Linked DNA regions of Sus scrofa. The protein of the gene in region 1 purifies or fractionates together with the protein of each later gene. This does not show direct contact. Links are inferred from orthologs where the notes say so. Each region holds a gene or a part of one and is shown on either strand. Other genes may lie near its edges. The genes, in order: RCC1 and RANBP1.

Region 1 (4,567 bases):
CAAAAACAAAACAAGAACAGGTTGGCTAAAAGTAGGCCATGATCTAGGGAGAGTTTGAGGTAGCCTGGACAGGCCACCCCAAAAGCCCCCAGAAGCCTGGCCAAAAACAAGAAATAGAGGGCAGAAGCCTGCTCAGAGGGACAGGATGGTGGGAGGAGACTCGGAGGCAGCTCGGGCCTGGGAGGGTGGGCCAGGTAGAGACGGATCTGCTGAAGGATGTGTGGAAGGACAATGGGTACAACTCCGTGCAGTGGTGGAGAGAGCACTGGTTTTCAAGTCTCAGAAACCTGTGTTCCCTTCAAGTCTGAGAATTTGCATCTCTCAAACAGGGGCTCCAGGCACTGCAGCGTGCTGTTGTGAACAATTCTAGAGGCATGACAAGGGGTGAAAGGGCACCTCCCAAAAGGTGGAGCCCTGCACCCATTACCCACCTGCATATCCTCTACTACACTAATCAGTCATTTGGACAGACTCTCTAACCGCTCTGGGTATGTTTTCTTTCTTTTCTGGCTGCACCCATGGCATGCAGAAGTTCCCAGGCCAGGGATGCAATCTGAGCCACAGCGATGACAACATTGGATCTTAACCCAATGACCCATAAGGGAACTCCATGGGTGTGTTTTCTTAATCACACAGGGAATGTCTGGGTTGGGACTAAGTAGTAGTTTTTGTCTGCACCCCGCACTCCCCAACAAACACAGCTTCCATCTTCAAGGAGGTTACAGTCTGGTAGAAGAGTGAGATATAATCACGGTTCGTCAGATACAGAGTCAGCTTCCGCCAATAGGCACCTAAGGAGTACCAGCCTCTCCTAGAATGCACACACCTGCCCCCAGAGGTGTGATCATTCTGCCTTTACAAATAAGAAAGTGGAGGCTCAGGAGAAGGTGGCCTGGGCCAAACAGAGGTGGGATGACAGCTGACCACTCCCTAGCAGGACCAAAGCTTTGCCCCTTCCCCAAGTACCCCCCTGGATCTGTTTCCTCATTTGGTGAATGAAGGCACAGCAGACTAGACAGTTTACCAGGAGCCTGCTGTGACCCCCAGTGACCTCATTTCTTCAAAGGGACACAGAGCCCTCTTTGACCACAGCAGCTGTGTTCCACCCCCCTTAACCCGAAAGACACTTGCCCACCAGATGCAAAGGCTGAAGAATCTTTGTGAGAAAAGTCCCCAAGAGCTCTGAGACTCATGTGTCAACAAACATTTGCTAATAAGCTCCTGCCTCGTGTCAGGCACAGAGCTGGTATACTTCATCCAGGAGCTCCTTACCAAGGAATCCCCCTTATGTACCGAGCTGAGCCGGGGCCACACCTTCCACCAGATGTCAGAACCACAGCTTTATGGAAATTATAGGATATTAGTAATCCTCACCACCTGCCTCCTATCATTTTACAGTTAAGGAAAATAAGGCTCAAGGGGAGTGGGTGGGTGGCTCAAGGGCACCCAACGAGGACACTGCAAAGCTGAACAAGATTCCGGCTCTGGGGATGCCTTTGCAACAGCAGCATGGAGAACTCCTGGTTGATCTTTCCAGACTCCATTCTGATGCCCTTCGTGGATGAAACCACCCCTGCCTCCACTCCCACCCAGAGTTCCTTGGTCTTGCACTCCAGACCTTTTGAGACCCAACCACTGCTGAATCATCTTGCTCTTCCCCTCTCTGTACCCCGTGCTCCAGTCAGACTCAAACACCCGTGGTAGCCCCGGATCACAACACTCCCTACACCTTCATGCCTTTGCCGTGTGCTCTGTTCCCTGCCTGGATCACCCTAACCCCTCCACCCTCAATCTGCCAATTCCTTCAAAACCCTGGACAAATCACCTTGGCGGCAAAGCCATCCCTGTGACCCCTCCTGGGCAGGCTTGAGTGACTGAGTTCCTCTCCATCCTCCATACACTCAACCTAGGCTGGGGTGCCCAAGTCATACTTGGTTGCAGCACCTCAGTTACTATTAGCCAGCAGCAGCGCTCCGGCTCGACTGGCATACTTCAAAAATCACCCTAAACCATAACTGTGATCCCACACCGGTCACCCCAGAGAGGCCAGGAGCTCTGACAAGGCTACACAGGGTCCTCTCACCATGTTTCCCAGCCCTGCAAGGGCAGCACGGAGGAGACAGCCAGTAAATAATCTCCTGACAGATGAGTTGATGCGGAGTTCACAGCACACCTCCCGACGGGTCAACAGTCGTCGCCGTGATGCCTGTTGACACTGAGATTTCGCTCCCTGCGCAGACCCTCTGCAGCCTACCTCGAGTTCCTAAAGCAGACCCACGCGGGGCAGGATACCTCCGCCACTCCGCAAATCGCATTCTCCAAACCACCGCTGGACGAAATCACTTTCCCGCTCCGGAAACGCAGCCCCAGCCGGGACAGCCGCCCTGGCCAGGGAGGCGCGCGGGGCTGCGCACCGCAGGCGGCGAGGTCACCGCGGCCGCGCGCACCCCGGCCGGCCGCGCTCGGGCCGTTTGAATCTCCCGCCCGCGCGACTGGCGCGGGCCAGGCTTGTTCCGCGCGGCGGCGAAGGGGCCGCGCGGCCCTCGCTCGGTCGAGGCGGGGCCCGGCCAGCTCCCGGGCGCCCTGCGGGGCCGGGGAGCCGCGCGCCCGCACACGCGCCTCCCTGCCGCCCGGCTTCACGTGGGGCCGGCGCCGCGCCACACGGGCGCGCGCAGGCAACGGCCCCGGCCCGCCGGCAACCGCAGGTACCCCGGCTGTGCCCGCCCTGCGCGCCACCCTCCGCTCCGACCCTCCGCGCGTGACGGGCACGACCTACCTCGCTGCAGGTCCGCCACAAGGAACTCCTCCGATCGCCGGCCCGGCCGAGAACTGCCCCAGAGCATGCGCTCTGCGGGCCTCCGGCCCCGACCCCGGGCCAGAAAAGAAAACAAAGGGCCCGGCGGCCCCTGGCGGCCGCCCCGGGAAGTGCAAGTGGCGCGCTCTGGCTAGGGCGCTCTTGACCTCCACCCTGGCCCGGGTACAGTGGGTGTATATTTTGGAGACCCCAAATAGGGACAAGTGGACTGACAACCAGAAAGAGCACTTGAAATCAGAGTTTGTTTGGGAAGATTTGGTGTGGACGGGACTGTACGGGCAAATAGATACTGATCTTCCCTTCTCTCAAGAGGCTCTCAGAGAAAGAAGAGACATCAGACTATCACCAAACTATTCAGGGCGATGACAAAGGTACGCACAGGGTTATCTGACTTAGCTGGGGCTTAAGAAAGGCTTTCCAGGCTAAGCCGGAAAGTGTAGGGCTTCCTAGGAGAAGCCTCCCTTGCGATGACAGGGAGCCATGAGAGCCTTTGGTCATTATGGGAAACTAACTGCCAAGGCCTGACTGGGGCAGAGGGTGCCCTGGGAGTGAGTGACAGGAAAGAAAACGGGAGAGGAAGAGACAGACCGCGGATTCAGGGTCTTGTGTGTTTAAGGAGAGAGCCTCTAACCTTAGGCAGTGGGGAACTACAGAAGGGATTTGAGCAGGTCAGTGACATGAGCAGATTTTTTTAGAAGAAAATGGAGAATAGACTTGGAAGGGGAAACCAACAGTGGGGGAGAGCAATGAGGTAAGAAAGATTAGGTTGTGGAGAAAAAAAAAAAGAAAGAAATAAAGAAAAGAAAGATGAGGGTGTGAATTGAGGTGGGGGGCCAGAATGTTAAATAGGCAGGAAGCAAACTACCCACTCTCCTTAACACACTCCTTCAGGATGGATACAGACTATTCTTCAGGATTTCAAGTGTTCCTTGTGGTGACTTTTCAGGCCTTTTGATTGTGTCTGGGGGTTTCCCAAGTCAGGCCAGTGACCTCTGTAGAAGAATATTTCCTTCATGTCACGTTGACTCTAATTCTAAAAGTCATTCTCCCATACTTGAACTCTAGATGGATAGTTTTGGTATTTACTAACTGCATTTCTTCTCTAGAGCCCACCCCAAGGCATTCCCCATCTTCAGGGCTTCTTACCTCCTCAAGTTGACTTCCGCCTCCATCACAGACTCCACTCACGGATGATATACTGTGAAATTCCTCCAAGTTTTAAGCCTGGGATCTCTGATCTCTCTCTGCTTTCTTCCTCCAAGATCTTACTCATTCACATGGCTTGATGTAATTATAAAAATAAGTATTGTCACCTATTTTGTAGAACATTTTACTTTACAGAAACACGTTCATTCATGTCCATTAGTTCATCTGTTCCTCACAAAAACCTTGACATTTGTTAAACAAGTTGGCTCGGGCCATCATACAAGTGGTAGATCAGAATGCTTGCTCCGGGCTGAGCTGTCATCTTTTAACTGAGAGGGCAGTCCATCTGGTCTGGTTCTGACCCCCACCCTAAGTTTCAGACCTACGGCTCTACCCAGAAGACTCAACATCCAAAATAAAGCTCACTTCCCATGGATCTAGATGCCCCATCCCACCCCCACCCCAGGCCCTTCATCTTTCAAGGCAAGGTTAAGGCTCTCTGAGAAGTACAAATGATTCAGACTTTAACTTTTTTTTCTGATTCTTCTCTCTTCTCTGCTTATTCTATTTCTGTCCCTCTGGTCTATAGCACCACCCTCCTGGCCT
Region 2 (4,344 bases), on another chromosome or scaffold:
AAAAGCAAGAGCGAAACAGAAAGAAGAGTGGAAGGAACAGGCAGGAAAAACTTCTGTAAGAGCAGAGGACCTAACCTGCTGGGGTGACGGCTTGACCCCTTCTAGCATGCAGCAAGCCTTGTTATGCTTTTGCCTCTGTGACAGTAGCCAGGGCAGCAGAGCACGGTTGGTGTTCCCAATTTCTCTGCAAGGTAAGGTGAGGTGGAAGTTGGACTCAGCCAACTGCCCATCCTCAGCTACCCTCCAAATGGCCAGGCGCCTGGGCCCCCACTTGGGACCTCATTGACCCAAGTGGTAACACAAGGGTCCTACTGGCCAGCGCCCCAGAATGACATCTGTACGCATGGGGCAAGCTCAGGAGGCCGCTTATGGGAGCTGTGCCAGGGGATGCTTTGACCCAACACTCACTTGGCTAGCTTCTGCAGCACCTGCTCACATTCCAGTCGCTTGCGCTCAAGCTGCTCTGCATAGGGCACGGTCCAAAGAGGGGTCACTACATCAGCGATACAGGTGGCCTGGGAGGCTGGCGGCTCACCCTCGTCCTCTCTCTGCCTCTTCCTGGCCATGGGATCAGCCTTCGGCCTCGCTAGGCGCACGCTGAGCGGGCGGCCCTTCCAGAGGGCGCCGTGCAGCACGCACAGGGCCTTGTCGCGCTCGGCGGCGCTACGAAATGTCACGAAGGCGCAAGGAGGCTGCCCGAAGAGTTTGGTCTTGTGGGGTTGCAGCCCAAAGCGGCCCAGGAAGCGCCGGACGTCGCTGAAGCTGGCATGGCGCGGTACGTTCTGCAACTCCAACTTAAAGATCTCCGAGGTGAACAGGCCGGCCCGGATGTAGCTATAGGGCCCCGGCTGAACGTCCGGCCCCGCGGCCCCAGCGTCCAGATCCTTCTCCTGCTGGGGGCCCGGGGCCGCGGGGCTGCCCGGCGCGCTGGGGCTGTCCTGACCGGGGTCCCCCACGCGCGCCTGACCCTGCGTGGAGACAGCAGACAGGCGGGTTGGCAAGCGCCCGAACGCCCGGCCCTCTGTCTCAGCCACCCATCTCACCACCCGTCCCTAACTCCAGCGGAATTTCCCTTCCCCGTACTTCGCTGTCGGGCTCGTCACCCATCATCCACTCTGTCCGCGGCCTCGTCCAGGGCCTTGCAAACAGGGGGCGCGCGGTGAGCGGGTGCGACTCCGAGAGGCAGGCCTCGCTCCAGCCCGGGCGGAGGCAGGACTCCCTCGGTGCTCAGGTCCAGGTCTCAGGCATGGCCCGGGCCCCCCACTCTCCTTGCCGGTCACTTTCCCGTCCGCTGCCGGCGCGCGTATCCCAGACAGCGTGTCTTAATCGTCTCGGCTTCCGGCGACATCATCGCCTCGCGCCGCTGAAACCCCCAGCCGCGCCTGCGAGCTCCAGGGGCGCGCGGCCGCGGGGCGGAAGTGCGCGCGAGGGCCGCCGGGAGTGCGCGTTCCCCCGCCTGCCGGGCTGGCCGGGCATGCGCCGCGGGCCTTTTGGCGGGAAGCGCGGGGCGGGCTGGACAATGAGAGTGTCTGCCGCCTGAGCCAATAAAGCTGTGCTGGTTTTGAATCGCGGCGCGTTTCCCGCCGCCGGGGTCAGGGGTCGGGGGTTCAGGTCGCGGGGCGGAGGGAAGAGCGGGCGGGCGGGAGGCGCCGGCGCCAGACGCGGAGGAAGAAGCTGCGACCAGCCGCCGAGAGGCCGCGGAGCCCGCGACGACCGAGCCCGCCGAATTGCCGCCGCCGCCGCCGCGCCCATGGCGGCCGCCAAGGTGGGCCGGGCCGGACAGGCCGGGGCGGGGGCCGGGCGGACTGGGGCCGCTACCGGCGGCCACGTGGGCGGCCCGCGCCGCCGCCAACCCCCACCGGCTTGCGGGCTCGGGTGCGGGGCCTCGTGACCTTGGGGCGGCCCGGCCTCGCGCTCGCTCCTCGTTTCCGGGCCGCTACTTGCCGCGGGCCCCGCACCGAGACGGCCCCCTCCCGCGGCCCGCGCAGCGCTCCATTCATCCGGTGGTGGCCCTCGAACCGCTACCGGACTCCGTGCCCGCGCGCGGTCCGGCGGGCGGCCTGTGGCGGCGGAGACAACGCAGTGCAGCCCGGTGCGGTCCGGCTAAGGGGCCGGCAAAGGCCTGCGTTTTTGGGCCGAGCCCGGGAGCGAAGTCTCTGGGAGTCTTAGCCTCCGGGTCTATGGATCATCAAGCCACGTGTTCCGTGAGACAACCTAAAACACCATCCTTTGTGTGCCGTAGTTAGTTCTCTGCACTGGAGCCGAATTCTATAACTCTTTTGTGTGAATCTTTTTAGTTTTTAAATCTGGTTTCCCAACCGAGATTAAATTGCTGGCAGAACTGTGAATTCTGTGTAAACGCTAGCAATCTTATCACAACTTTTTTTTTTCTTTGAAGTAAGAGGGCAGATTTTTCAGTAAAAATTCAGATGGATGATTTTGGTTTTAAGAGTATACTGAGGCTCTCTTCTCCTCATCACTGTGTCCTTGATCTGCATTTGACAGTGAGGCGTTCCAGGACCCTTGGAATTCCTGAAGCCCAGTTAGTCTGTGCAGTTTTGGTTGTTGCATCTGAGGGAGGGTGACAGAGTCCAGAGTCTTGCTGCAAGTCCCTGCAGAAAGCTTTGGGATGAAAGGCTTTTTAAGCCTTTGTTTTGGTGTGAGGCTGTTGACTAGTGGGGTTGCCCACCGTGGCCACTGGTGAGCTCTAGCACGGCCAGCAGGGTCACGACTCCCTCCTCTACAGGACACCCATGAGGACCACGACACCTCCACCGAGAATGCTGACGAGTCTAACCATGACCCCCAGTTTGAGCCGATAGTTTCTCTTCCTGAGCAAGAAATTAAAACGCTGGAAGAAGATGAGGAGGAGCTTTTTAAAATGTAAGTGAACTGATGTTTTTTCAGAAGGAGGTATCTTTAGTTTAAGATGGCACCTAGTGGTTTTATAAATTTCCAGAGCTTGGCTTGACCTTTAGCCATACCAAGGGTTTTGTGATGGCTAATCCCATGTGGAAATCAAGGTGGCTGTTAGCATTTACCTATTCCATGGCTCCCTGGTGTCCTGTTACCATAGCTCTGTCCACAAGGGACATCTCCCAGACCCCTGTGCTTGCTACCCGTGCCTCTAAGACTTCTGAAGCCCTTGCCCCCGCTTGAGTATTGGCTCTTTAGTGTTACGCTCTCTCTTTTTTTTTTCAACACAAGGACACTCTGAAGCACATGATTTTCTGATTCAGTGTCTTTGGCACACTAGGCAAAACTTGGAACTACAAGTGGAAGTGGGTAGTGTTAGAGTTACTCGGAGTTCCAGTCGTGGCTCAGTAGTTAACCCAACTAGCATCCATGAAGATGCAGGTTTGATCCCTGGCCTTGCTCAGTGGGTTAAGGATCCGGCGTTGCCATGAGCTGTGGTACAGGTCGCAGATGTGGCTTGGATCTAGTGTTGCTGTGGCAGTGTTGTAGGCCGGCAGCTACAGCACTGATTTGATCCCTAGCCTGGGAACCTCCATATGCCGCGGGTGCGGCCCTAAGAAGACAGAAAAAAAAAGAAAAGTTTCTTGGTGGCAACTACAAGTAGCTGTAGCTGCCATGCCACTTTGAAGCACTGTTTGCAGAATCTCTGTGTCCAGATGTCTGTGATAGTCACAGTACTGACAGCAGCACTGACACGGATTAAAGGAGACACTGGTGTAGCCCCAAGTTAGCGGAAATTGGGGGCAGGGTGGAACAGATTCTTCCCACCCCTTCGGACTCCGTCCAGGATGCCAGATTGTGGTTTGACTGTTTTGTTGTGAGTTGGAGGAGGGAAGCAGCGGGGCCAACACTGCTACCACTCTCTAAGGCAGGGAGGCTGGAGAAAGCAGCCCCTCCCTACCCCTCCCAAGGGCCTGAGGAGGAGAGCCACACACCCCTTAGGTCTCAGGGCTGGAGGCACAGGTTCTCTGGGTCTCTGTTCTGCCTGGAAGCGCTGCCGCCTCTCTTGACAGTTGAGTTTGGGAAGAGAGCAGTTTTTGCAGGGAAGGGGCCAGCAGAGCTGGGATCCTATGGGGACGTCTCCTGCTGCTCTATGCCCCAGGGACGCCAGGGTGCCCATGCACCGCAGTGGCAGCCTCTTCTGGGAGTGCTGCTGCACTCTCTGAGAGGGCAGGTCTTTTTTCCCATTTTTATTTTGAAGTAAAAACCCACAGTCTAGGGGGTTCCCGTCATGGCTCAGCGGTTGATGAATCCGACTGGGAACCACGGGGTTGCGGGTTCGATCCCTGGCATTGCTCAGTGGGTTGAGGATCCGGCATTGCAGTGAGCTGTGGTTTAGGTCGCAGACGCAGCTCAGATCCCACGTTG

What was found.
Region 2: the proteins of RCC1 (region 1) and RANBP1 purify together in Homo sapiens (affinity purification with mass spectrometry; 3 studies listed by BioGRID and IntAct, counting the BioPlex papers as one, with this or other methods). This does not show direct contact. The link is inferred for Sus scrofa from reciprocal best matches to the Homo sapiens genes RCC1 and RANBP1.

What each region holds. Positions count from the first base shown.
Region 1 is NC_010448.4:85,544,292-85,548,858, reverse strand, and holds the start of RCC1 (regulator of chromosome condensation), read right to left. Parts: upstream 2,869-4,567; 5' UTR 2,777-2,868; intron 2,390-2,776; exon of another isoform or gene 2,255-2,389; intron 1-2,254. UniProt on the Homo sapiens protein: Guanine-nucleotide releasing factor that promotes the exchange of Ran-bound GDP by GTP, and thereby plays an important role in RAN-mediated functions in nuclear import and mitosis.
Region 2 is NC_010456.5:51,492,771-51,497,114, forward strand, and holds the start of RANBP1 (ran-specific GTPase-activating protein), read left to right. Parts: upstream 1-1,487; 5' UTR 1,488-1,750; coding exon 1,751-1,765; intron 1,766-1,772; exon of another isoform or gene 1,773-2,180; coding exon of another isoform or gene 2,181-2,204; intron 2,205-2,746; coding exon 2,747-2,883; intron 2,884-4,344. Other genes in the region: TRMT2A (tRNA (uracil-5-)-methyltransferase homolog A), read right to left, coding at 76-184, 409-968, 1,084-1,110. UniProt on the Homo sapiens protein: Plays a role in RAN-dependent nucleocytoplasmic transport. Alleviates the TNPO1-dependent inhibition of RAN GTPase activity and mediates the dissociation of RAN from proteins involved in transport into the nucleus.